Oryzias latipes: one gene and its partners. The main gene of each other region encodes a partner of the protein of the gene in region 2 in a complex. Links are inferred from orthologs where the notes say so. Each region holds a gene or a part of one and is shown on either strand. Other genes may lie near its edges.

Region 1 (7,351 bases), on a different chromosome or scaffold from region 2:
ATGTTAAAAACCCAGTTAGCCTCAAAGTGGGTCTTTAACTTCTGTAAGATCCGAGTAATCTGTCGAATTCTAAACTCACTTTAAAGGTAAAAATATATATAATTTCGATATTGAAGTACAAAAAATGAATCAAAATACCAACAGACGTTATTGAAACCTGTTTTCATGGTCCCAATAATTATTTTAAGTGTTTCGTCACATTTGACCACAGGAAATAAAATGTACTGTCTTTATTTTGCATGAAGGACTTCAAAATAAAAGGTATAAACAACCCAAAAGTGAGCTTCAATTGACTCAAGTGATAGAGAACATCTCTGGTGAAAACCTATATCAGGGGTCTGCAACCTCTGGCTCTTTTATCCCACCATTGTGGTTTGTCTGGTCAAAGAAACGGTTTTAAATTTAAAAAGTAACTAAGTAAGCAGTAAAGTAAAAAAAAAAATGAAAGAAACTCAAAACCTATTCACAAACTTGTGAAGGACAGTACATATCACAAGTCAAACAAAAACATTGTGCAAGATTTTTGTGTGTCGAGTACTACAGAAACTCAATTGGAGGTCAACTACCAGAACTTAGGCAGATTTTCTGTTTTTGAATTCAAGGATTTAAAGTATAATAATGCTTAAAAAATACAGTTAAAGTATTTTGATTACTTTTGTAAGTTTTTAAGTTACATTTACAATTGGCTGAGATGCACCTCAAGTGATAAAATAAACTGCTTTTTTTAATCACTGCTCTACATTTGCTGCATTGAGATGATTCTATGTGGCATGGGAAGTCTTTTATTTTGAATTAAAGTCATGTAATCCACTCCAAAAGTTGTAAACTATTTGATATTTTGAAAATTTAACAATAGAAAGTCAAAATGTATTTCAGTTATTTGCCCACATCAGACGTTTTTTACACACTATTTCTTCCCAAAAAGGAACTAAAACCTATTATCTGTCTCAGCTTAATAGAATTACATAACGTTACTTTTGTGTTGTAGTTTTCCTTTTTTACTTTTGCAAACCCCCTGGCATTTGTTTTGAAAAAGTGATGCACAGTTTATTCCTTACTGTATGTCATTTAAATGTTCTGAATAAAGACTTTAAAAAAGGGGGAAAATCATATTGTGAAATTGGGGTATTTCTTTTTTATCTTAATGTTTTATGTATGCCAAAAAAAAGTTAATTTATCATAGTAACAGTATAAATATAAATCAGTGTATTAGTTTTCTGAAGGGTGAGGTAAAACGGAGCAGGACGGTTAAGTGTTGAAAGCTGCAGACTTATGGCCGGACAATTACAGGCAAATTTGTATTATTGACTTTGTTTTTGACAAAAGATGTAATTTCAGGTGTGATCTCTTCCAAATTGCCATTCTGAGGCAATACTTTGGATTTTTTTTAATAACTGTTTTGGCTCTGTCAGTTGTTTTTCCGTCATAGCTTGACTCCTAACATCCCCCTGAACTTCCACCTGGAAGCAGAGCAGTCCTACCTGCAGCCAGCTGCATCCAGCCGCAGATCTTGTACACGGTTCCGGTGCTGCAGAAGAAGAACAGCGCGAAGCAGGCGATGCAGGTGATGACCAGCGACATGGACATGCAGATGAAGAAGGAGGCGGCTTTGAACGCTCCGGAGGGGATGCTGCTGAACTCCGTGAAGCTTCCCTGACAGGTCAGGTCCCGGGACAGTCCGTTCCCGATGCAGTAGTGGAACAGACCAAAGTAGCCCGCCTGAGGCGTGTCTGCGCCGTCCCCGATCCAGTACGGCTGGATGAAGCACACCACGTTGACGATGGCGAAGAGGATGGTGAATATCGCCCAGAGGACGCCGATGGCCCGGGAATTACGCACGTAGTTGGTTTGGTAGATCTTGGCAGCCTCCGAGGCGGGAAGCATGGTGGTGGTCGCGCTGGGGGCCCCGGGGACCATCCTCCGGTGTATGTGAGGTAAGAGACTTAAGATTTGCACTCAGTAAACAAACCTCTTCCTCGTCAGGTAGTAATCTTCATCAGAACTAGCTAATTTTCCTGTTTTACGTGGATGCTTTACGCGTCTTCAATGCGCGCTCGCATCCTTGACTTGAGCCCTCTTTGCGCTTTCCTCCTTCATCAATCTACGGGAGAAAAAGAAAGACAATCTATTGAAATGCTTGAGAAATCCTCTCTGCAGAAGGCTTCCTCTGCCCGCTCCCCTGATGTCTCCTCCTGGTGTTTCTGCCTGAGACGATAACACCGCTCCAGCTGCCACGAGTGGCTGAGATGTGGCTGAAATGGTCTGTGTGCTCTCGACGGAGCAGCAGCCGCGGATGAGATCCTATTGAATTAGAGTCGGAAGATAGTTGCGGATATTACACAGGCAACTCACATCCCTTAATCCCATTCTGACGCATTATTCCGGTAACGCGCGTAAATCCCGAACAGACACATTGATATGAAAGCAAATGCGAAGACTAAATGCTTTTGATTTTTCTGCTCGTCAATCCAGTGCGCATGACTGATACGATCAGCATAAATACAAGTTCATAAAAAAACAAGGATGCGCTCTTCCTACATATACAATTTTAAATAGGTTCGTTTACAAAATTTCTGAATTGTAGTCTATTTTCAAAATATAAATGTTAGGTATTCCTAATTAGTTTAGTTTGGTTAAATTTAATTATCATATTTCTTAAAACAAACACACAAATAATCCTAAAAAGGTGAAAGGTTAGAGACAATAAAATAAGTTTTATTGGGTAATGGGTAAATCAGGAAGGTTATTTACAATACAGATTAGCCAAAATATGTATAATTACTCGTTTTAATAAAAAAAAAATCATTCTTAACAGCTCATACTAGATGCATACTCTCCAACGTTTTTAAAATTACACATCATAATTATGAGATATATATGAAATAAAGTATAATTATTTATTTCGTTTCTTTTTTTAAAATACTTTTTGATTTAAAAGATGTCTAAAGTTGTTTTTTATTTTATGTTTCGGATTTTTACTACATTACCCAGAGTTCCACAATACTTTTCTGATTGGATCATACGGAGGCGGAGTTTATGACGTAATCCAACGGCGCGCAAAGTGATCGCAGCCGGTTTCAAGTACATTTGCTCGTTTTTCCTCGATAAAAACGTAGTTTTTGAGGAGTGTTTTAAAGTTTTGTATCACGCGCTTTCTTCGACTTAACGACGTCAAGTTCACTTTTTTGCCGCTAACGCTGGCGACCGTCATCTTTATTTTCGTGAAAGTTAAGCTAATGTTTTGGTTTGTTTATTAGTTTAGCTCCTCGTGGCTTCAACTATAAAGTTAGAACCAAGAAAAGCAGAATGGCGGGACTGTTAGAGCATCCTGGATACGACGAGGAGAGGCTGAAGAGAGCCGCAGAGCAGCTGCCCTGCAGAGAAGTTCAGGCTGGGATGTTGCTGTCCCTTATGGGAGAGGTATGGGGCCGTTAACTCAAGGAAGGTCCACCTGATAACAAAATTCCCAAAGCAAAACAGTGTAATTATTAGTCAATGTATTTATAAAATAATAATAATAAAGTTTTTCATAAATTCTCATTCTCGTGTTAAAACACCAGTCGGAGTTGCTTTAATACCCACTCTGATTCATTAAAAATTGTTTGTAACATGTACTTGTGGCATTTTTCCAATGTTCTAAAAGTATTTCTTTATTAAAATTGTGATCCAGGACCAGACGAAAAGGCTCTGTTTGAAAAAGATCGTATATTTGTGATGTAGAAAACACACAAGCTCCCTGCTCAGCTCCATTCTGATGCACTTGTAAACAAATAGATCCATGTATGTCTTTGTTTTCTTCGCCCAAACTAGTGTCTGGCGCCCAAATGTACGGCTGGATATAGCTCCAATATTGCTCACCCTTTTTGTTGCACCAGTAATGTTAGTTTGGGTGTTTGAGAAAGATAGTGGGAGAGTGTAAACAGAGCTGTGGGCAGGGTTACTCTGTGCCAACAGTCTTTCCCACAATCAGACGTGAATTTATAATGAATTACTGCCGCTCTGCAGAAACTATGTCTTAGAAAATGTCAGAGGGTTTTTGATTTTAGCTAAAAAAGGGCATCATCATAATTAAAAGACCACTGGGAACACTTTGTAAATAAATCAAAAGATGAATATAGTAGGTTGTAATTTTTATTATTATTATTATTATTATTTAAAAGTGTGTTCATGAATAGGAATTTAGTCTTTGTGAGACGAGATAGATTAAAGAGACTTTGGACAGAAACGTAGTCGTATTGTTCTTGCTATTTTTAAATTCTTACTTAAAATATAGAGACACACCTTGCACAATTACAGACTACCGTATTTTCCGGAGTATAAGTCGCACCAGCCCAAAAATGCATTATAAAGTAGAAAAAAACACAGATAAGTCGCACTGGACTATAAGTCGCATTTTAACTTTCACAACCTTATATGACACAATCATAGCAGACTGTTTATCTAATAATTTCACAGTAATTTTTTCTCAAACTTATTTATTTATTCCTTTCATGAAGCATCATTGGCTAACTAATACTCTGTTTTCATCCTGTATTTGTAGAAACAGTTTTCACTTTTATTGCATTTCTGAATCTATGAAATCTTTGGAAAATAGAATATTATGTTGTTAGCCTTCAAGATCTAACTGTAAAAAAAAGTTTGCTGATTCTCTGAGTCACTGAACATACTCTTAACACTTAACACTTACACTTAACACTTACCTCATACATCAAATTGACCCAGGAACATCATCTCTGTTCCTCACAAATGAACATAACAGGAGGGTTAACAATGTATTTATTTCAATTTATTTCTAATATAAGTCGCTGCGGAGTATAAGTCGCACCCCTTGCCAAACTATGAAAAAAAGTGCGACTTATAGTCCGGAAAATACGGGTATTTAAAATAAATACAAGAACTAAAAATAAAAAGGGAAATTTGGTGAAACAGGTGAGATGGACTTTAAAAATATGGAGTCACATTAGGCTAATAATTTCATTAAATAATGGACACTGTACTGAAATATGATATTTCTCTAAGTGTTACTCAAATATGTATATTTTGTATGTAATGATCTTGTTTTTATACTATTTTAAGCTGCCTTACAATCATCTTGAGCGTCTTGATAAGCGCTTCAAATAAAATAAAGTAACCCTTTTATTCTTGGGCATTTAGGTGATGACTAATATAGTATTTAGAGCATTTTTCAATGTATTATGTTGTTTTTACCTAGTACTGGTGCAATGATCTAATATTATTGACAGTAACATTCGTGTTATTTTTCTCTTGACAGCCACACCAGTACTGCTACCCCTCAATCTTCATCTACGGTCATCGGGCTTCAGGAAAAAGCCATGTAATAAATGTTCTGATGAAGGAGCTGGAGGTGATGTCTGTTAAATCCGTGGTTGTTTTGGTTTAGATGTGGTTTCTCAGTGTTGTCTTTTGACAGCGTCAAAGAAAAGATGGATTCTGAAAGCTTTTTCTCCTTAGGGTTTCATCTTTTTCGAAGTTGAAAGGATAATGAAGGAATGACAACAACAAGAGAACACGGGGTTTCTTTCAATAAACACTGAAAGAGTGTTTAGTTAATTAAACATTGCGCTTTTTTCAAGTAAATAAGTGGATTCTGGTGATGTCAATTACATTTGTGGGTTACAAAAGTAAAACGTGAAAAAGATGTGTTTTTGCTAAAACCAAAGGATTATTTATCATTTACATTTAATCTGCAAAAGATAAAATCCACCCTCTAAAGTGTTGTCTTTGTTTGGGCAGTATGTTGTTGGGTTTTTAAAAAGTAGCAGCTGGGATTTTTGTGCCATGTGATGTTTTTTTTTTTTGTGCATCCTCCAGAGTTCTCAGTTTCCTTCTTACACCTCCTCTTCCTGCAGCTTCCTCACGCCACGCTCAGCTGTGTCGAATGCGTTTCTGTCGCGCTGCTGTTTGAGCAAGTCTTGCGGTCCTTCTTCGGGTGCGACGTGGCCTCGCTGCTCCCTCGCAGCCCCTCCCTGACAGACTTTGTGCGCATTTACCGCCAGCAGTCGCCTGCCCGGCAAACGCGCTACATTGTGAGTTCACGCTCCTCCCTCCTTTTTTCCCATCGTTTGTGCTCTCGTGACTCATGGTTTTCACTTGAAAAATGCTGAAATCGTAATTTTTCCATCTCCAAATCGTTTCATCTGTTCAAATTTAAGTCTAAGAAGTTAACTGCGAGTGGATATGATGAACTCTATTTTGAATTTTTTAGGTCATGGAAAAAGCGGAACTTCTGAGAGACGCCGATGCTAACCTCCTCCCGGCTCTCCTCCGCCTGCAGGAGCTGGTGAGATGATTCAGCTCTTTGTCTCATCTGTCCAGCATATTTTTGCTGGAGGGTGTGGTTGATGAAGGAGGGAAGGAAATCATTTGTAACGGATGACCTTTTGCTTGAGTGCAAGATTTTTCATAATGTTGTATGGAGGAAATAGTGTTAATTGTTCAATGCATTTTATTAGAGACTCAAGTGACAGATTGTCTTTTATTCTAGGAAGTAGTTTATTGGAACATTGTCTGCATTTTTACACAATAATTAGGATACAGAGTCATTTAAATATGCTGAAAGATAAAGAAAAGTTTTTTTTTAAGGGGAGTTATTAAAGACATATTTATTTGACTCAAATATCCACAGATAATTCAGATTCACTTCATTTATAAAGGGTTGAAACAGTTTATTCATTTTCAATAACTGAAGCATCTGCTGCTACAATTATATGCACCATATTCAGAATAAAAATCATTTCCTAGTTGTGTAAATAATCACAAAGGTGTAATTACATGTGTTTCAGTAGCAGGAATATTCTTGGGCGTTTTTGAAATATTACACAACAAAGGCTAAAAGTCATCCTAGCTGGGTAAAAAGACCACTTTTGTTGGATCTTTTTTTATAGAATATTGTCACCTGGTACTAGGTGCGTACAAATTGTGGTTTTTAAATGTGTGACAGTGGGGAAATTTTCACTCAAAGATAGTACCGTAGAAAGCGAAAACAATCTGATCTCTGGCGTCCAGGACTGCTGCGGGCCATAATGACGGCTGCAGCTGCCACGGGGAGCTCTGACTGAGCTGTAGCATAGCCTAATGCTCTGTTTGCTGCTGTGTGCATCTTTTCTGCAGGTTGAGGACAATGTTACTGTCATCCTGCTCAGTGAAATAGTCTGGGACACGTTCAGACCGAACACGGGCTGCTTTGAGCCCCTCCTGCTCCACTTCCCAGACTACAGTAAAGGTATTCACAGGCTCACTCTGCTAAATCTGAACTTGCAATCGTGTTTTCACAAGTCAGGCATCAGCTTTAGTTGAATATTTAATTCTGATGCAGCACTGTATAAATTCA
Region 2 (7,233 bases):
CTGCTAGCTTCTAGAGCACGTTTTCAACACGTGTAGTGTTTTTGACTACATATTAGCCTAGCGGCTAGCAATATAGAATTTAGTGTGATTTCTTAAAGCAATTGAGTTTCTAGTATTATTTAGCCATTTAACATAATTTCATCTTGTAACATAGCTTTAAGTTTTTGTGTTTTTAGCCCTTTTTTTATATTTTAGCAATAACGCATTTAACTTAGTGTTTAGTTATTTTCAGCCTATTCTTGCAATGTATTTTCAACCTAATTATTTTAGTTTCTAGCTTTACTTGGCTGTAATTAGATTATAATTACCCCTTTCAAATGTCAACAATTCTATAAAGTCTCAATCAAGTACACAACAATCAATATATGAATATACCTGTTTTAGGAAAAAAACAATTAGAAAACAAATGTCAGTTCTAGTTAATTTCTGCATCATATACTTTTAAATGTTTCAAATAAAATCTACCTTATGGTATTTATAGCCCTTGTGCTATCTTATGGGGTCCAGATGACCCCACCCTTACACTGCCGTGTTCTCCCTACCAGGATAAAGGTGGAAAGATTTCATGTAATCCATGGACACCAGTGAAGATCACAAATCATTGAAGAAAAAAGATTCAGCGCACTGTCTAGTGGGTCTAGATGACCCAACTCCCAATGTTAAAGTGCCTAGGATAGCACAAGGGTTAGTCTAGATCTTAAAGATCATAATTGGTTTAAAGCCGTAATAAGTTTCGAGGTTTTCTTTAAAGAGATTTCACAGATTACCACTAGATGGCAGCATTTAGCTGTGAAAAACTTCACTTATATATTCTAAATCCAGAACTTTAAAGTTGATATAAAAAAAATAAAACAAGGCCATATTTTATCGTTTTATTAAATAGATATATTAAAAAAAAAAAAACTCTTCAATGGAATTCAACAGTTTCCTCTGAGGTGTTTTGTGGGTTTAGGCAAAAGCCGACAGGGCCCACTGCTTGATGTCGGTGGGGCATTGTGGGTACTTCTGCAGCGCCTCCATGATCTGGCTGCGGTCCACCATGAGCCTCATCATCTGGTACTCCCTCTGGGTTTTAGGCGAGCCGTCGACGGGCCGGACGAGCTCCAGCTGCTGCAGGTGCTCGAACCCCTGCAGACAAAGCGGACAAGGCCGAAGTGGGTGACACCTGGACAGTTAAAATTCCTTTGGACGGCTGGAAGAGGTCTCACCTTCACGATGACGGGCGGGCTGAAGTTATACATGGAGTTGGACTTGCGCTGCAGGAACTTTTTGAACTCTGAAAGCACAAACGCTCCGGGTTCTGTCCTGTCGTCGCACGTTTGGAGAAAAATGAGTCAAAGTCTGTACCGTTATGGACCATTTGCAGGTTGAAGGGCTCTCCTTCGTAAACATCGTTGAGGTGTTTCATGGCGATGATCAGGCACAGCTCCACAATGGACAGACCTAAAGGCCAGCCGTTAGACGTGACTCGGGTAAACTGACGTAACCAACAAACGTCGACAGATTTTACCGTGCAGCATGTTGGTCTTGCAGTCGGCGAGGCAGAGGCGGCTGGCATCCAGCAGGTCTGAAGCTTTGATGGTGGGTTTGGCGAGGGTGACCCGGCTCAGACACAACATCTGTAACTTTAGAGTTATAAACGACTGACAATAATTAATATAAGGACAGTGGCGTATCCCTTACCAGGAGCACGTGCAACGACCGAAAGTCTTTGCTGCAGTCAAAGTGTCTCTGCAAAACGTCCTGAACAGACTTGTCCTCGATGAGATTCTAAGGAAGAAAAACTAAATGTTAGTCGTCCTAAATCAGGTCTCCAGAGGTACCAAGTCCATAGCAACCATTGAAAATGTTTTACGTCTCTGGCTGATGACCAGGTGAAACAAGTTTCATATCTCTATCCTTAAATAAATATCAATGCTTTCCATAGCAACCAATACTTAAGCTTGTCAGACAATGTTGCATTCAGCTCGACACGAGCATGAACCCTTTAACGTGGGAGCTGTCGCCGGTGACATGAAAATAGCACAATTAACACATAATTAACGGAATTGGGAAACGGATTGTGATGCGGAGAAAAAGCAGCTTTGCAAATGATGTTTGCACCAATATGCAACTTTTTCCCCTGAGTCAAAATCAGCCGATTTACATTGATCGCATAACTAAAGATCAAAAATAGTTGCACCGACCAGAGGTCTTTGGTGCAATTAAGTTTTTCTGCCAAATGTCTTGAACACTTATCCTCACTCAAAATTAAGCAAGACAAAAAAACAAACTAAATCAGTGAATTTTACCAGATCATGTTTCCACAGGCTCCCTAGAGGAATCAAGTCCATAGCAACCATAGATTTTTTCTTTCTTTCATGTTTTGGGCTGATAAACAAGTACGACACGTTTCATATCTCTATCCTAAAATATGTGTGAAAAGTTTCCATAGCAACGACTATTGTTGCCTGCTACACAATATCAAATGACACATTGTTAGATTCTTGATCACCTAGTGAAACATTTCACTTGGTTTACCTTTACACTGGCGTTCCACTCCTGAGCGAACCTGCTGTCGCAGAAATCATCGGAGAGGCTGAGCTGGGCCCGGACTCGGTCCAGGTACTGACTGAACGTCAAGCCGCTCAGCAGGTGGATCTGTCGGTGAGAAAACCTGGACTTCACCCGCTTCTCTAGCAGCTCCAGGACATCCTGAGAAGACAGGAAGACGTCAAAGGGGTGCTACTCTTCCCTGACGAAAAAGTAAAAAAAAAGAGACCCACCAGCCTGCAGGTGAGTCCCACCACGGCGACGGGCGCCTGGGTGGACTGCGACACGTCAAACAGGTTGTAGAGCAGCGTTTGGTTCTTGTGGTGGGCGAACAGGTCGAACTCGTCCAGGACGAACAACACGGGGCGGCTGCTGGTGCGATCACCTGACGGAACCACAAACACAACCAGAGTGCTGGAGAGGACCGGATTTCACCGTCATCCACTTAAATTTAACCCGTCCAACCTTTCTTCAGAGCTTCCAGCAGGAAAGCCAAATTCTCAGCGAAGCTTCCCTGAAACGGGGAAAAAAAAAGAAAACATTTTTGGATCCGATTTAAGGCAAAAATGGCCGCCAAACTAAAAAGAAAAACATACGAAAACTTTCTCTCCAACGACGTTCTCCAGGTGGAGCTGCCTGGTTATTTCTTTAAGTGCAATTCTGTCGTCGGTCTGTAGGAGGCCTGGAACAAAAAACAAAAACAAAGAAAATTACTAAATTACTAGAGGAGCAGGCAGATTTGGAGGACACAAAGTCGCAATTACCGTTAAGGTGGACCTGCAGAAGGTTTTCCTGCACCTCCTTCTCCTCCAGCAGCTCCTGCAGAACGCTCCTCAGCAGCTGCGCAAACGCAGACGCCGTCAGACAACCAGCACTGCCCACCCTCAGCACCCCTCCCTCGCCGCCTCCTCACCGAGCTTTTCCCCGCTCCCCTCGGCCCGACGATCAGCACCGAGTTGCTCTCCCCGTAGACAGCGGTGCGCCTCAGCAGCTCCTCCAGGTGCCTGTATGGGCGGAGCTTCAAGTGAGCTTTGACAAACGATGGGGGGTGGGGCACCAAACTAGGTCGGCGCCGTCAGCCTGAACTGGGTCACAGAGCTGCGGGTCGTCTTTGCTTTAATCAGACACATAGCTAAAATAAAAATAAAAACCCACTTGTGTTGAGCTCCAACTCCATCGAGTCCTTTGGCTAGTTTTTGCTGGCAGTATCGCTCCCTCAAGATCCGTTGAACCTAGAAATTCATAAAAACACAAACAAATTCATTAAGTTCCAAGTCACTACCACGCAAACTCAAGGTTTAAGGAAGGGATACAAGCCTGTGTGATGCATTCTCCCAGGGGCTGATGGGAGATTTTCCCTTTCCTCTTACTCATGATGGCCTGACGAGAAAAAAGTGCTTTGTTAATAAAGTTTGATTTAAATCAAATGATCAGACTTTGAAGTAAACAAGTTAAAACGTTAAAATGATCCCTTTAAGTATCCCACCTGACGTCACATTGGAAGCCGAATTGTAAATAAAGTTTTATGTATCAAGAATGAAGTCTTTTGTGTTTGTAGACATATAAACCCCGCCCAAAAAAAGGAATTTCTATATTTAAAGAAATGTAAACAGGAAGTCCGATGTTCCTAGTGCCGGGTAGATACTGTAAAACATGTTGCGTTGCTGTTGTATGAAAAGGGCTTTATAAATAAAGTTTGATTTGATTCCAATGATTGGGCTTTGAACATGTTAAACCGTCAAAATGAAGCCTTTAAGTGAATTTGCTGAGGTTATAATGTCAGCCGAATTGTAAATAAAGTTTTATTTATCAAATATAAACAGCGCATTCCGTTTCTAGACGTAAGAAATACGTCGTGGGAAAACATTATTTTAATGTAACCACATTTAAAACGGAAGTTCGGCTATTCGGTGATCCTGCTGGAGATGAACCTAAAAGAAACATCACGTTGAAGAAAAAAACACCCCCACGTGATCACGAAATGTTGAGAAGTTGAGCACAAAAAGTTGCATTTAGTAAACAAAAGTTGTTTACACTCACGCGGCTCCAGAAAACACCAAACAGTAGCCCCCCGGAATCTTCCCGCGACTTTTGCGACACACGAGATGACTACTTCCGGCATGGGCTGAATCTCCGGTCTCTGATTGGCTGGAAGAAAACTCGTGATTGACTGAAAGCGGATGAGTATATTTTTTCTTTAAAATAAAGGTTAGTAAAACGCTTTAAAACATCAGAAACGGCATTAAAATATGTAAATAATTGATAAATAATAATATTATAATGTTGTTTCAAACAGAAGCATGGTTTGTGAGTTTTCTCAGTGCTGTGTCCGTTTTTAAATTACATTTAATCTAAATCCCATGATGACTTTTACTGATTCATTTTCATTGGAAATGTGCAATTTCTTTTTTTTTTTAATTGGTTTTATTACCAAACTAAGAAAAAAGTTTGGGAAAAAAATAATAATTTTGGGGGGTCTATTTTTCATTTTTTCTTTATGATGCAAATAAAAGAGATTATCTCGATGTAAACACAGATTTATAAAACATAAAAATTTACTTTATTTTGTTTAAATATTTTAATTTTGTTGTTAATGACTAGGGAAAAAAACAAAGTAACAAAAAAGAACAAAAATCAAAGAAAACCAGTTAGCTTTTTTTGCCACCTTTTTTATTTTTACCTTAATGCTTTTCTTCTTTAATGTCCCTTTAGGAGCTCCGTAGAATTCTTCTGAGCTACCAGTCTACGTTCATATGACCACTTCCAATAAAAAGTCTATGTAAACAGGTGTAAATGCATGTGACAGGCCTCCAAGTTCAAAACATAAATAGGCAAGTTTTTATGGCCATTTTTGGGCTCGACTAACGAAATGTTCATTGAATGTGTCTTAAAGCGGGTCAAACTTTGACCAATCGGGGCCCTCGGATCTGGTTGTGATGAACAAACGGCGTCCCTTTTGATTCATGGAAGAATTAACATGTTGAAAAGTCTTTCATACCGGAATAGAGCTGTGCTAGAAAAAAAACAAAAAAGAATTCCCAAGATTCGCACCACTTCAACATTTTGCACTAACCCACTACCAACTGTAGATGGCGCACATGCGCTAGTAAACAGTGAACAAAAAAAAGTAGAGGAAGAATCCCTCCCTGCTTGTCCATTGTGAAAACCGTGGGCTAGACGCACGTTTAAGAACTTGCATTCAAGTAACCACATCCAAAAAAATAAAAGTGTATAAACACGTATTTCGGACTTCCAAGTTTAAAACGTTCCCATTTACATAGAGATGCGCAAATTTCTACAACCATGGGCTAAATGACCAATTCGTCATTTCGCGCTAAGCCTCTTTCAACTGTAGGTGGTGGTAAGGCGCTAGTCAACAGAAGCCCCTTCTCGCTAGTCCATTGTGAACATTGTGGACTAAACGCGTGTTCAAGAAATCACGTTTAGCCTTTTCTTTTTCTTTTTTACACTCGCCACACCTCCCTCGGCAATTTGCATTCAAGAGGCCACTTCCGATAAAAACTCTACGTAAATGTGTGTCGATGCACGTTTCGGGTTTCTGTGTAGCTACGCAAGTCTTTACGACCATTTTTGTGCTGGACATGCTAAACTTGAACGCATGTTGCAAGTTAAAGTGGGTCCAACTTTGGCCAACCAGGGACTCTTATTTGGTCGTGACGTATGGACGGCGTCCAGTGCGAACACCGTCGGCTAAACGCACATTCTAGAACTCGCGTTCAGCACGTTTTTGAACGCTTTGACTGACCGTAGCTTTAAGCTACGTTCACACCGCCCTCAGCAACGCGTGTTCAAGCGACCACTTCCAATGAAAACTCCATATTCCAATGCAAAAGCTTCATCCATGCAATATGCACAAAATGTACGTGTTGGCTGTGTGACACGGCCTTTAGGTGAATGTGAGCTGAAAAGCTCTGACTTCCCCTCATCCTCAACATCTTCAGCGTGTGCGGTTAAAGAAAAAATAAAAACAAGGATGAAAGATAGCAACAAAAAAAAAGGGCATCAAGACTGAGTGATGTGAGGACCACGCCGCTCTGAAGGTCAAAGCTGAGGCGTGTCCGCCAGCAAAAGCACAGCCAGGCGTCCACGCCGTATTTTACAGTAATGGGACCAGACGAGTGCGAGCGCAGACATGTGAGGCTTTACGGTGCTTCTGTCATCCGTCTAGAGAGGAAGAAGCTGCAGGAGGGGAAAAAAACCTGCAGCTGAGCTGATTTATAGCATTGAAAAAAACACTTTTTCATTAACTATTCATCAACACATCATATTATTATAAATGCTTACATGCAACGTTGTCAAAATCATCCCATTTAAATAAAATTACAATTTTTGGATGCTTTTATGAATGTTTGTTTATGTGTTAATGTCAATGGTTTCTTGTTTTTATAAAGAAAATACACGTGTAAAAAAAATGTTCTTGAATTACTTATTTGTTTCATTATGAAACCAATTCAAGAAATTCTAGCAGAGGGTGGGGGTGGGGGGTTGTGGGGACAGCAGGTGAATCGCGCAGGGATTGTAAATAGGTAAAACCCACTGCCTGTCACTCACTGCAGCGTGTGAGTGTGTGTTTGGCTCCAGGTCCGCATGTGAGCAGTCTGTCTCACATCTACAAAACATTCATACCAACCTAAGATCACGTTTAAAGTCTCAACGCCTGCATGAAGCAGAAACTCACCA
Region 3 (7,083 bases), on a different chromosome or scaffold from region 2:
TAGCAGAAACGGCCTTTGACAGCTAAACTTGAATATGTTATTTTAAGTGATGCTATCATAGTCTGTACACATTACTTTAGATGTTCTTCAATCTGAGTTTTGCTATGTAACTTTCTTTTTTGCAGTCGTGTGCAACAGCCATGATGCATCCTGTCTATCATATTCATAGTGACGGACATCTGCTGGGGAAGTGGACCCCCACTCGTGGGTGGTGAAGCCTATCCAGCTGTCATACAATAACTTCTCCGTGGGATAAGTGTGTTGAAACTTTTAGGAAAAAAAACTCAACCTGTGTAGTTGAGTTCCAAATAATGGAAGATCAAATTAAATAAATAAAGTTTATCATTCCAAGATCTGTAGATATATTTTGATCAAATAAAAGCAAATAAAAGTTTGAATGCACTGTCATGTAACAAAAGTCATAACAATGCTGTTTCTCTGAATTTTATAGAATTTCATGGTGTAAAATTAAATTAGACTGCACGCGCTTTAGTAATGGAATCAGCAACTAATCCTCAGCGTATAAGAGAATTTTATCTGCAGGTTCATCAACTTTAGCAGTTTGATTCTGTGGTTGAAATTATTTCATAAATGTTTTATGGTGAGATTTTTGAGCTCATGTCTGCATGTTTATGTTATGTTATAGTCATGCATGTTACTTTTGAGTTGCTTGTAAAACATTTACATGTGTTGAGTGAAATTCCAGCTTAAGCAGAGCATCTTTTCATGATGAATATATGAAAAATAATGTAAACTATGCAATGATAATTTTACATTTTCATAGTTAAGAATGTGTGTAGTTGTGGAACTTAATAAAATCACTTCCAGGAATGTCTTAAAATTATTGTAATAAAATTTAGCTCCAGATTATTTTTGCTTTCCTCTTGGCTCTTGCCAATCCATATTTTTCTGAAAAAATAGGACCTAGAGATACATTCATTAAATTATAAGTCAATCGGCATTTTCTTTTTGTTTTGAGGATAATAAATATTGGTTGGAGTAAACACTAAACATCTTTATAAAGCAAATTGCATTGTTTGTCAAAGGTGCTTTAAACCCACCACTTATTCGATTAAAAAAAAATAATCACAAGCAATAAAAAAACATAGAAAATTGGTAGTGATTTAAATTTTGCCAATTTGTTTGTACTTAAGTGTATTTATGGGGGTATGATGTGTATTTCTTTTCTTTAATCAAATTTAAAGTGAGATTTATAAGGATTTTAACTTGTCTGGTCAGCATCTTGCTAATGCAACTTAATTTTCAAACAAATGACATTTGTATTAAATCAAATTCTTTCCAAGATTTTAGACGTGTGTTTTAAAATAGTTTTATAATAATTACAATGTAACCAGAGTGGTTGATTTAAAAAAAAAAACGACGCATATAATTGTCAATGGTTTGGTATGTCAACAAGTTAGACTTCAAATAATTAATTTGTCGTTTGATGTTGGAAATAAAATTCAGTCATATAAAACTGGAAAAACATTAAAACTTTCAGAAAAGGACATCATTATGGGTTGTTATGATCAACGTTGACTGGAACATTGTTTTTTTATAAAACAATTGATTTGGTTTTTGGAGAATTTTCATATTCAAAAAAGGTCATAGTCAAATTAAAAATTTATTTAAAACACTTTTTGGTAAAATCCTCAAACAAATTAAAACAAAAAAGGCAATTTCGACTAAAGTAATTTCTGAATCTGTGCAAAACTGGGTGTGTTGTTGGATGTCAGACCTTTAATCATCTTATGTATGCTGATGACCTTGTCATTTTTAGCCCCTACAGTGCTGGGTTACAAACACTTTTAAAAGTTTGTTCTGACTATGGCAGAGATTTTGATATAAACTACAATCCCTCTAAAAGCAAAGTAATGATTGTAAGGACCAAAGACGACAGAAATGTAAACTTTCCTGTTTTTAAGCTTTGTGGAACGCCTCTGGAACAAACCTCATCTATCAAATACCTTGGACATTTCATTACTGATGATTGGAGGGATGATAGAGACATTCAGAGACAGTACTGTAAACTCTATGCTCAGGCAAACATGCTGATGAGAAAATTCAGTACGTGTTCTCTTCAAGTGAAATGTTCGCTGTTCAGAGCTTACTGCACTCCTCTGTATACGGCCCCTCTTTGGTGGAACTATGGACGTGGGACATACCGCAAATTCTTAGTGGCCTATAATGATGCTTTTAGGCTTCTGCTACAGGTGCCAAGGTGGTACAGAGCCAGTCAGCTATTTGTGGATGCTCACATCCCCACCAGTGAAGCACTACTGCGTAAGCTTACATACGGCCTTATGGAACGCCTAGACAAATCTAAGAACTCAATTATCATGTCTCTGACTGATCCCAAAAGAAGCTCATGCAGCTACACTTCTGCCCTGAGGAAACACTGGATACAGCGATTATACTCTTTTTAATTTATATATTTTTACTTTTTATTATGTATACTGTATTTGTATCTTTTTCTATGGACCACATCTGAGTCTGAAATAAACGTGTGTTTAAAAAGGCACATTTTCTTATAAACTTTAGTTCCTTCTTTTTGCTTTATTTCTATCTTTACAACGGCCACTCACACATTTCTTTTGTATGTTGTTAAAAAAAAAATAAGTGAAAAAAATTATATCGGAAACCTTTACAAAAGTTAGACTTTGAAGTGCATTCTGGGTAATGATTTTTTAAGTGTGTGGGCTGTGATTGGTCAGTACACGACCTTTCGCCTGTCACGTGGTTTAAACCTTCAGAAGGATGGCGCGGGAAGTTGTCAGCTCACCGTGGTATTTAGTTCAGTTTGCTAACGTTTCTCTGCAAGGTGCTTAGTTTTTACGAGCTTTTCCCACGCTGTCAGTGTGTTTTTTCATAAAGTTTTATATTTTTGGTCAACCTGTATGTATCGGTCTTCTCGGCGTCCAACCACGCAGTGTGTTGTGTTTGCCATTAGAGGACCGAGCGCGATGGAGGTGAAGTTTGTCGGGGATGAGGATGTTCTGGAGCACATCGTGGAGAAACATGACGGTAAAAGCTTTTAAGTCTTTCAACAAATCTGCGCAGACGCGGTGATCTTAAACTCCCTGTGTTTGGTCTGCGCAGGCGTGCTGGGCGGCGGAAAGTCTGTGCAGAGGATGGTGACGTTTAAGAGCCCCGCTGGACGTCGGGGGTGCCTGGAGGAGGAAGAACAGGAGGAAGATGAGGTCTTTGACGAGCAGAATTATATCCAGGCTTTGGGAGCAGATAATGCAACAGGTGAGGCGACAACAACTCTGTCATTTAGTCATTTTTTGCTTATTTACAACTTCAATAAACAAGTTAACCCTACTCCTGCCATGAAGAACTAAAGGTACATCACAGCTCTTTACATGCAGATGTTGACATACACAGGAATGGATACAGACTCTCGCTCTCTATTTTTTCCAATAAACTTTATTGTACATTTTTTTTTCAATTTACAGAAATTCACACAATTTGCACAATAAAGCAACAATTGTTAATATCAAACACACACATAAGACCAAAAAATAAACAATAATACTAATATTATTAATAACGTGTGCCTCTTTTTTCTTTTTTATAAATGCTCATATACAAACCAAGTTAGGGTGAACAATCGTTATAAATGTGCATATAGAAAAAACAAAACAAAATTTAAAAAAAGGCAATAATAATGGATTGGATTTATCTGCGCTTTTCAAGACACCCAAGGGCGCTTACATTATGTCCATTATTCATTCACTCCTCATTCATACTTGATGATGGTAAGCTACAGTTGCAGCCACAGCTGCCCTGGGGCAGACTGACAGAGGCGTGGCTGCCATTTCGCACCCCTCTGACCATCACCAGGATCATTCATGTGCATTCACACACCAGTGGAGCCACACTGGAGGCAAGGAGGGTGAAGTGTCTTGCCCAAGGACACAACAACATTTTTGGCTGGTGGGAGCGGGGATCGAACCGCCAACCCTTTGATCATTGGACGACCCGCCCAACCACCTGAGCCACTGTCGCCCCAAAATAACAATACTTTTGATATATTTTGAGAAATTACTGAAGTTTTCTTGTTTTTGTTTTGGAATGCATTTAAGACACTCATAATAATCAGAACAATAATTCAAAAAATACTAAACAAAGGGCATGTATTTTTCCATTTACATAAATGAATGAAATGTTTGCATAAAATAATAACAACATTAATGACATCAGAAATTCCCGGGTCCAGATTTTCCATATAGAAAAAACCATCAGATAAAGAAAAAAAGGGAATATTTAAAACTTTAAGTGACAACAAATTGTGAATATCAGTCCAAAATATTTGTATCTGGTTGAAACTGTAAAAGAGATGTTCCAACGTTTCAGTTTCAGATGAACAGAATAGCCATGGTTCCCATTGAAATTTGAATCTTTTATGTTAAAAATTTCCAACAGGGTAAATTTTTCAATATTATTTTTAAATGTGTTTCTTTCATTTTAGGTGGAAGTGGGAACTTTTTGTATTAAGAAAAAGATTTGTCCATTAGGGTGGTTTCTAAGTCGCATCTATTTTTTTTTACTAAAGTTGCAGAAAATGATTTGTTTAAAGGTTAGAGTTACTAATTTATTGTTGCATTTTTTATCTTTTATGGGAATATCATTAATTTTCAGCTGTGAAAATTGTGGTTGGATTGCATTGTATTGTAGTATGTTATGAATAAGATTAAGTAAAGGTATTGGAATTTCTTTACAGACTTTGTTATAACAGTTACTAGAATCCTTAATTTTGTATTTAGTTACAAACTCATTGTATGATAACAACATTCCATCAGTATGCATCAAGTCATGAACAAAACACACACCATAATCATACCATTCAGACATAAACAAGGATTTCTTGTTTACAGCTATAAATCTGTTGTTCCATAAAACAGTGTTGTGAGGGGAGAAGTTATGGGTGAAAAGCGTCTTCCCAAATTCTAAGTAAAAGTAAAAGTTTGATAGTTTCATTGGTATTTTTGATAGATTATAATCACATTTCATTGTATTAAATAAAGTGTATTAAAATGTATAAAGTGTATTAACATATTAATTACTGTTTTCTTCTTGTACAAGGTGTAATGTTTGTATATTATTAATAATGTTATTGTAGTTGTTGGGTTGAATTGTGCATAGCAAAAAATAATCTAGCAGGTTTAACTTATTGAAACAGTCAATTAGAGCAGTCTGAGAATCTTTAAAGTCCCTCTCTGGTCATCTTTTCAGCTATTTTCAAAACATCTTCTGATTATGACTATACCTTTTTAGCCTAAATAAAATAAAGGCTGTGTTGTTTTCTAGGACATAATTTCTGCTGAGCTGCAGTGGTTCATTAGAAATTCGCCTTTGAGTTGTGGGCGGGACCAATGGCCGTGGAATAAGCCCTACCCCACTTCCCATCATCCACCTGTTTACACGTTCGCTTGCTAGCTTACAGCCCTTCAAACCTCCTACCTAACAATACAGGTGCAACAAAAATGGAGAGTTATATCTGAGCTATCCAGCTGTAAAGTTTTAAGGTAGATGCCAGGTCGGATAAGGAAAATAAAGAATATAGTCGTCCACAGATGGATGCATTCGAATGGAGCAGAGCAGGGAGCTTGTGGCTCTACATCACAAATATTCTGTTTTTCCAACTGGATTTTTTTGTCTGTCCTCGATTAAAAACAATGTGAGCAGAGAAATACTCAGAATGCAATTTTGGGATCCATTTTCTTAATATATGTCCTCCAGCATAAAAAAATGTCACGAGAATATGTTAAAACCTCCAGAAAGGCTTTTTACATTGGACCAGCTGGTCTTTAAGATTTAAGTGTTTTGATATTCGTAAAACTTTTGACAGCATTCTGTTACATTTCTGTTTTCTTTTGGATTTCTTATACCAGTGTTTGAAGGATTTTCCTTCGTCATTGTTTACATTTTTCTGCCTTCCCTCACCTCCGTCGGGGTTTTCAGCATTATTTCAGCCACTTCAGCTGCATTTTCACCTGCAGTCATGCTGGAGGAAGAGTTTCTTCATCAGTGACCAAAAATAAACACGATTGAAACTTTGTAAACTAGCACCAAATGTTATTCATTTATGTAGTTGAGTAACAGAAGGTTGGAAAAGAGAAACTTCTCTGAGTTGTCTCAATAATTCACATGAATCTTTTGATCCTTTTCTTTTACAGCAGATGAAGACGGTCTCTCAGGAGTGGCTGGATCCTCTATTTTTACTTTCCAAAAAATCAAGCGTAGCCACCGCATGGCCCAAACTGGTGAGGTTCTCCAGCCTCTTCTCACATGTTTGCCCAAACTGTCTTGCAAGCTGCAGAAGTTGTTTTCCCAGCATCCTTTGCCTCTTGTTTTTGCACGCAGCGAATGAACTGGCGCGAACGCCGGGCAAAAGCGCAAACGTCAGCACGACCTCAAGCACTGAACCACAAACCCCCACTCGAACAGGTCGCGGTGAGTTCCCCAGACCCTCTGCTCCTCTGTTCAAGCACTTTTAGCTGATTCCTGTTCTCCTCTGCTTAAGATCACAGAGCAGGAAACCGGACCCCACATAGGGTGAGACCACTAAAAATTAAAGACATTCTTATTTTTTAAAGAGGTTAAAGTCACGGTCATGCAATTTTTGGTCACCATTCCTGCTTTCCTCCAAAAACAGAGCAAAAAAGTCCAGTTTGTCTCCACAACCCCACATAGACTCAGGAAGAGACTGACAGGTGAGTCCAAAACAATGCAAAAAAAATAATGAATCCAATCAAATCTGGTCTTTACCAACTAAAACTGCCAGACTTCGAGCGCCAGCTAACCTGAGGGAAACTTCGGAAGGAACCAGCTACTAGATGGTTCGATTAGTCTTTCGCCCCTATACCCAGGTCGGACGACCGATTTGCTCGTCGTGACCGCTGCGGGCCTCCACCAGAGTTTTCTCTGGCTTTGCCCTGCCCAGGCATAGTTCCCCTAATTTCGGGTCCTATCGCCCAACGGGGTGGGCGAGACGGGCCGGTGGTGAGATCATAGGTTAATTGGTTACTCTAAATTATCCATAGATGTGAGTGTGCATGGGTGTGTGATTTGTGGCCC

The links. Proteins that work in one complex are often made in the same cells at the same time.
Region 1: the proteins of orc4 (region 2) and orc5 are in contact, whole or in part, in a cryo-EM structure (PDB 7JPO), measured with the Homo sapiens proteins. The link is inferred for Oryzias latipes from reciprocal best matches to the Homo sapiens genes ORC4 and ORC5. Residues at the interface, in NP_001177808.1 of Homo sapiens: Ser18, Gln21, Arg22, Arg25, Glu26, Cys29, Arg30, Gln31, Arg69, Thr74, Asn100, Leu102, Leu103, Gln104, Ile105, Ile109, Glu113, Arg116, Asp162, Arg277, Met281, Met284, Leu285, Asn288, Met311, Asp312, Ser313, Lys314, Asn316, Ile317; in NP_002544.1 of Homo sapiens: Ile17, Ser20, Leu21, Phe22, Gly23, Glu24, His26, His27, Phe28, Ser29, Phe30, Pro31, Tyr36, Gly37, His38, Thr39, Thr98, Phe99, Asn100, Val103, Arg104, Arg131, Glu134, Asn136, Pro139, Gly140, Arg143, Gln145, Glu146, Leu147.
Region 3: the proteins of orc4 (region 2) and orc2 are in contact, whole or in part, in a cryo-EM structure (PDB 7JPP), measured with the Homo sapiens proteins. The link is inferred for Oryzias latipes from reciprocal best matches to the Homo sapiens genes ORC4 and ORC2. Residues at the interface, in NP_001177808.1 of Homo sapiens: Lys168, Asn169, Arg195, Glu200, Leu201, Lys204, Arg205; in NP_006181.1 of Homo sapiens: Asp501, Asp504, Tyr508, Ser512, Gln518, Glu522, Val554.

Annotation. Positions count from the first base shown.
Region 1 is NC_019881.2:17,804,873-17,812,223, reverse strand, and holds the start of orc5 (origin recognition complex subunit 5), read left to right. Parts: upstream 1-3,024; 5' UTR 3,025-3,306; coding exon 3,307-3,420; intron 3,421-5,272; coding exon 5,273-5,365; intron 5,366-5,870; coding exon 5,871-6,047; intron 6,048-6,226; coding exon 6,227-6,301; intron 6,302-7,131; coding exon 7,132-7,243; intron 7,244-7,351. Other genes in the region: LHFPL tetraspan subfamily member 3 protein, read right to left, coding at 1,482-1,917. UniProt on the Homo sapiens protein: Component of the origin recognition complex (ORC) that binds origins of replication. DNA-binding is ATP-dependent. The specific DNA sequences that define origins of replication have not been identified yet.
Region 2 is NC_019860.2:3,471,774-3,479,006, forward strand, and holds orc4 (origin recognition complex subunit 4), read right to left. Parts: upstream 4,701-7,233; 5' UTR 4,573-4,700; exon of another isoform or gene 4,567-4,572; intron 4,483-4,566; exon of another isoform or gene 4,464-4,482; intron 3,913-4,463; 5' UTR 3,907-3,912; coding exon 3,850-3,906; intron 3,765-3,849; coding exon 3,688-3,764; intron 3,537-3,687; coding exon 3,446-3,536; intron 3,373-3,445; coding exon 3,297-3,372; intron 3,215-3,296; coding exon 3,129-3,214; intron 3,047-3,128; coding exon 2,998-3,046; intron 2,918-2,997; coding exon 2,766-2,917; intron 2,695-2,765; coding exon 2,521-2,694; intron 1,771-2,520; coding exon 1,684-1,770; intron 1,620-1,683; coding exon 1,511-1,619; intron 1,444-1,510; coding exon 1,348-1,443; intron 1,277-1,347; coding exon 1,209-1,276; intron 1,129-1,208; coding exon 949-1,128; 3' UTR 858-948; downstream 1-857. UniProt on the Homo sapiens protein: Component of the origin recognition complex (ORC) that binds origins of replication. DNA-binding is ATP-dependent. The specific DNA sequences that define origins of replication have not been identified yet.
Region 3 is NC_019875.2:17,272,594-17,279,676, reverse strand, and holds the start of orc2 (origin recognition complex subunit 2), read left to right. Parts: upstream 1-2,756; 5' UTR 2,757-2,897; coding exon 2,898-3,024; intron 3,025-3,099; coding exon 3,100-3,252; intron 3,253-6,182; coding exon 6,183-6,269; intron 6,270-6,369; coding exon 6,370-6,459; intron 6,460-6,529; coding exon 6,530-6,561; intron 6,562-6,661; coding exon 6,662-6,719; intron 6,720-7,083. Other genes in the region: uncharacterized protein LOC101162319, read left to right, coding at 126-215. UniProt on the Homo sapiens protein: Component of the origin recognition complex (ORC) that binds origins of replication. DNA-binding is ATP-dependent. The specific DNA sequences that define origins of replication have not been identified yet.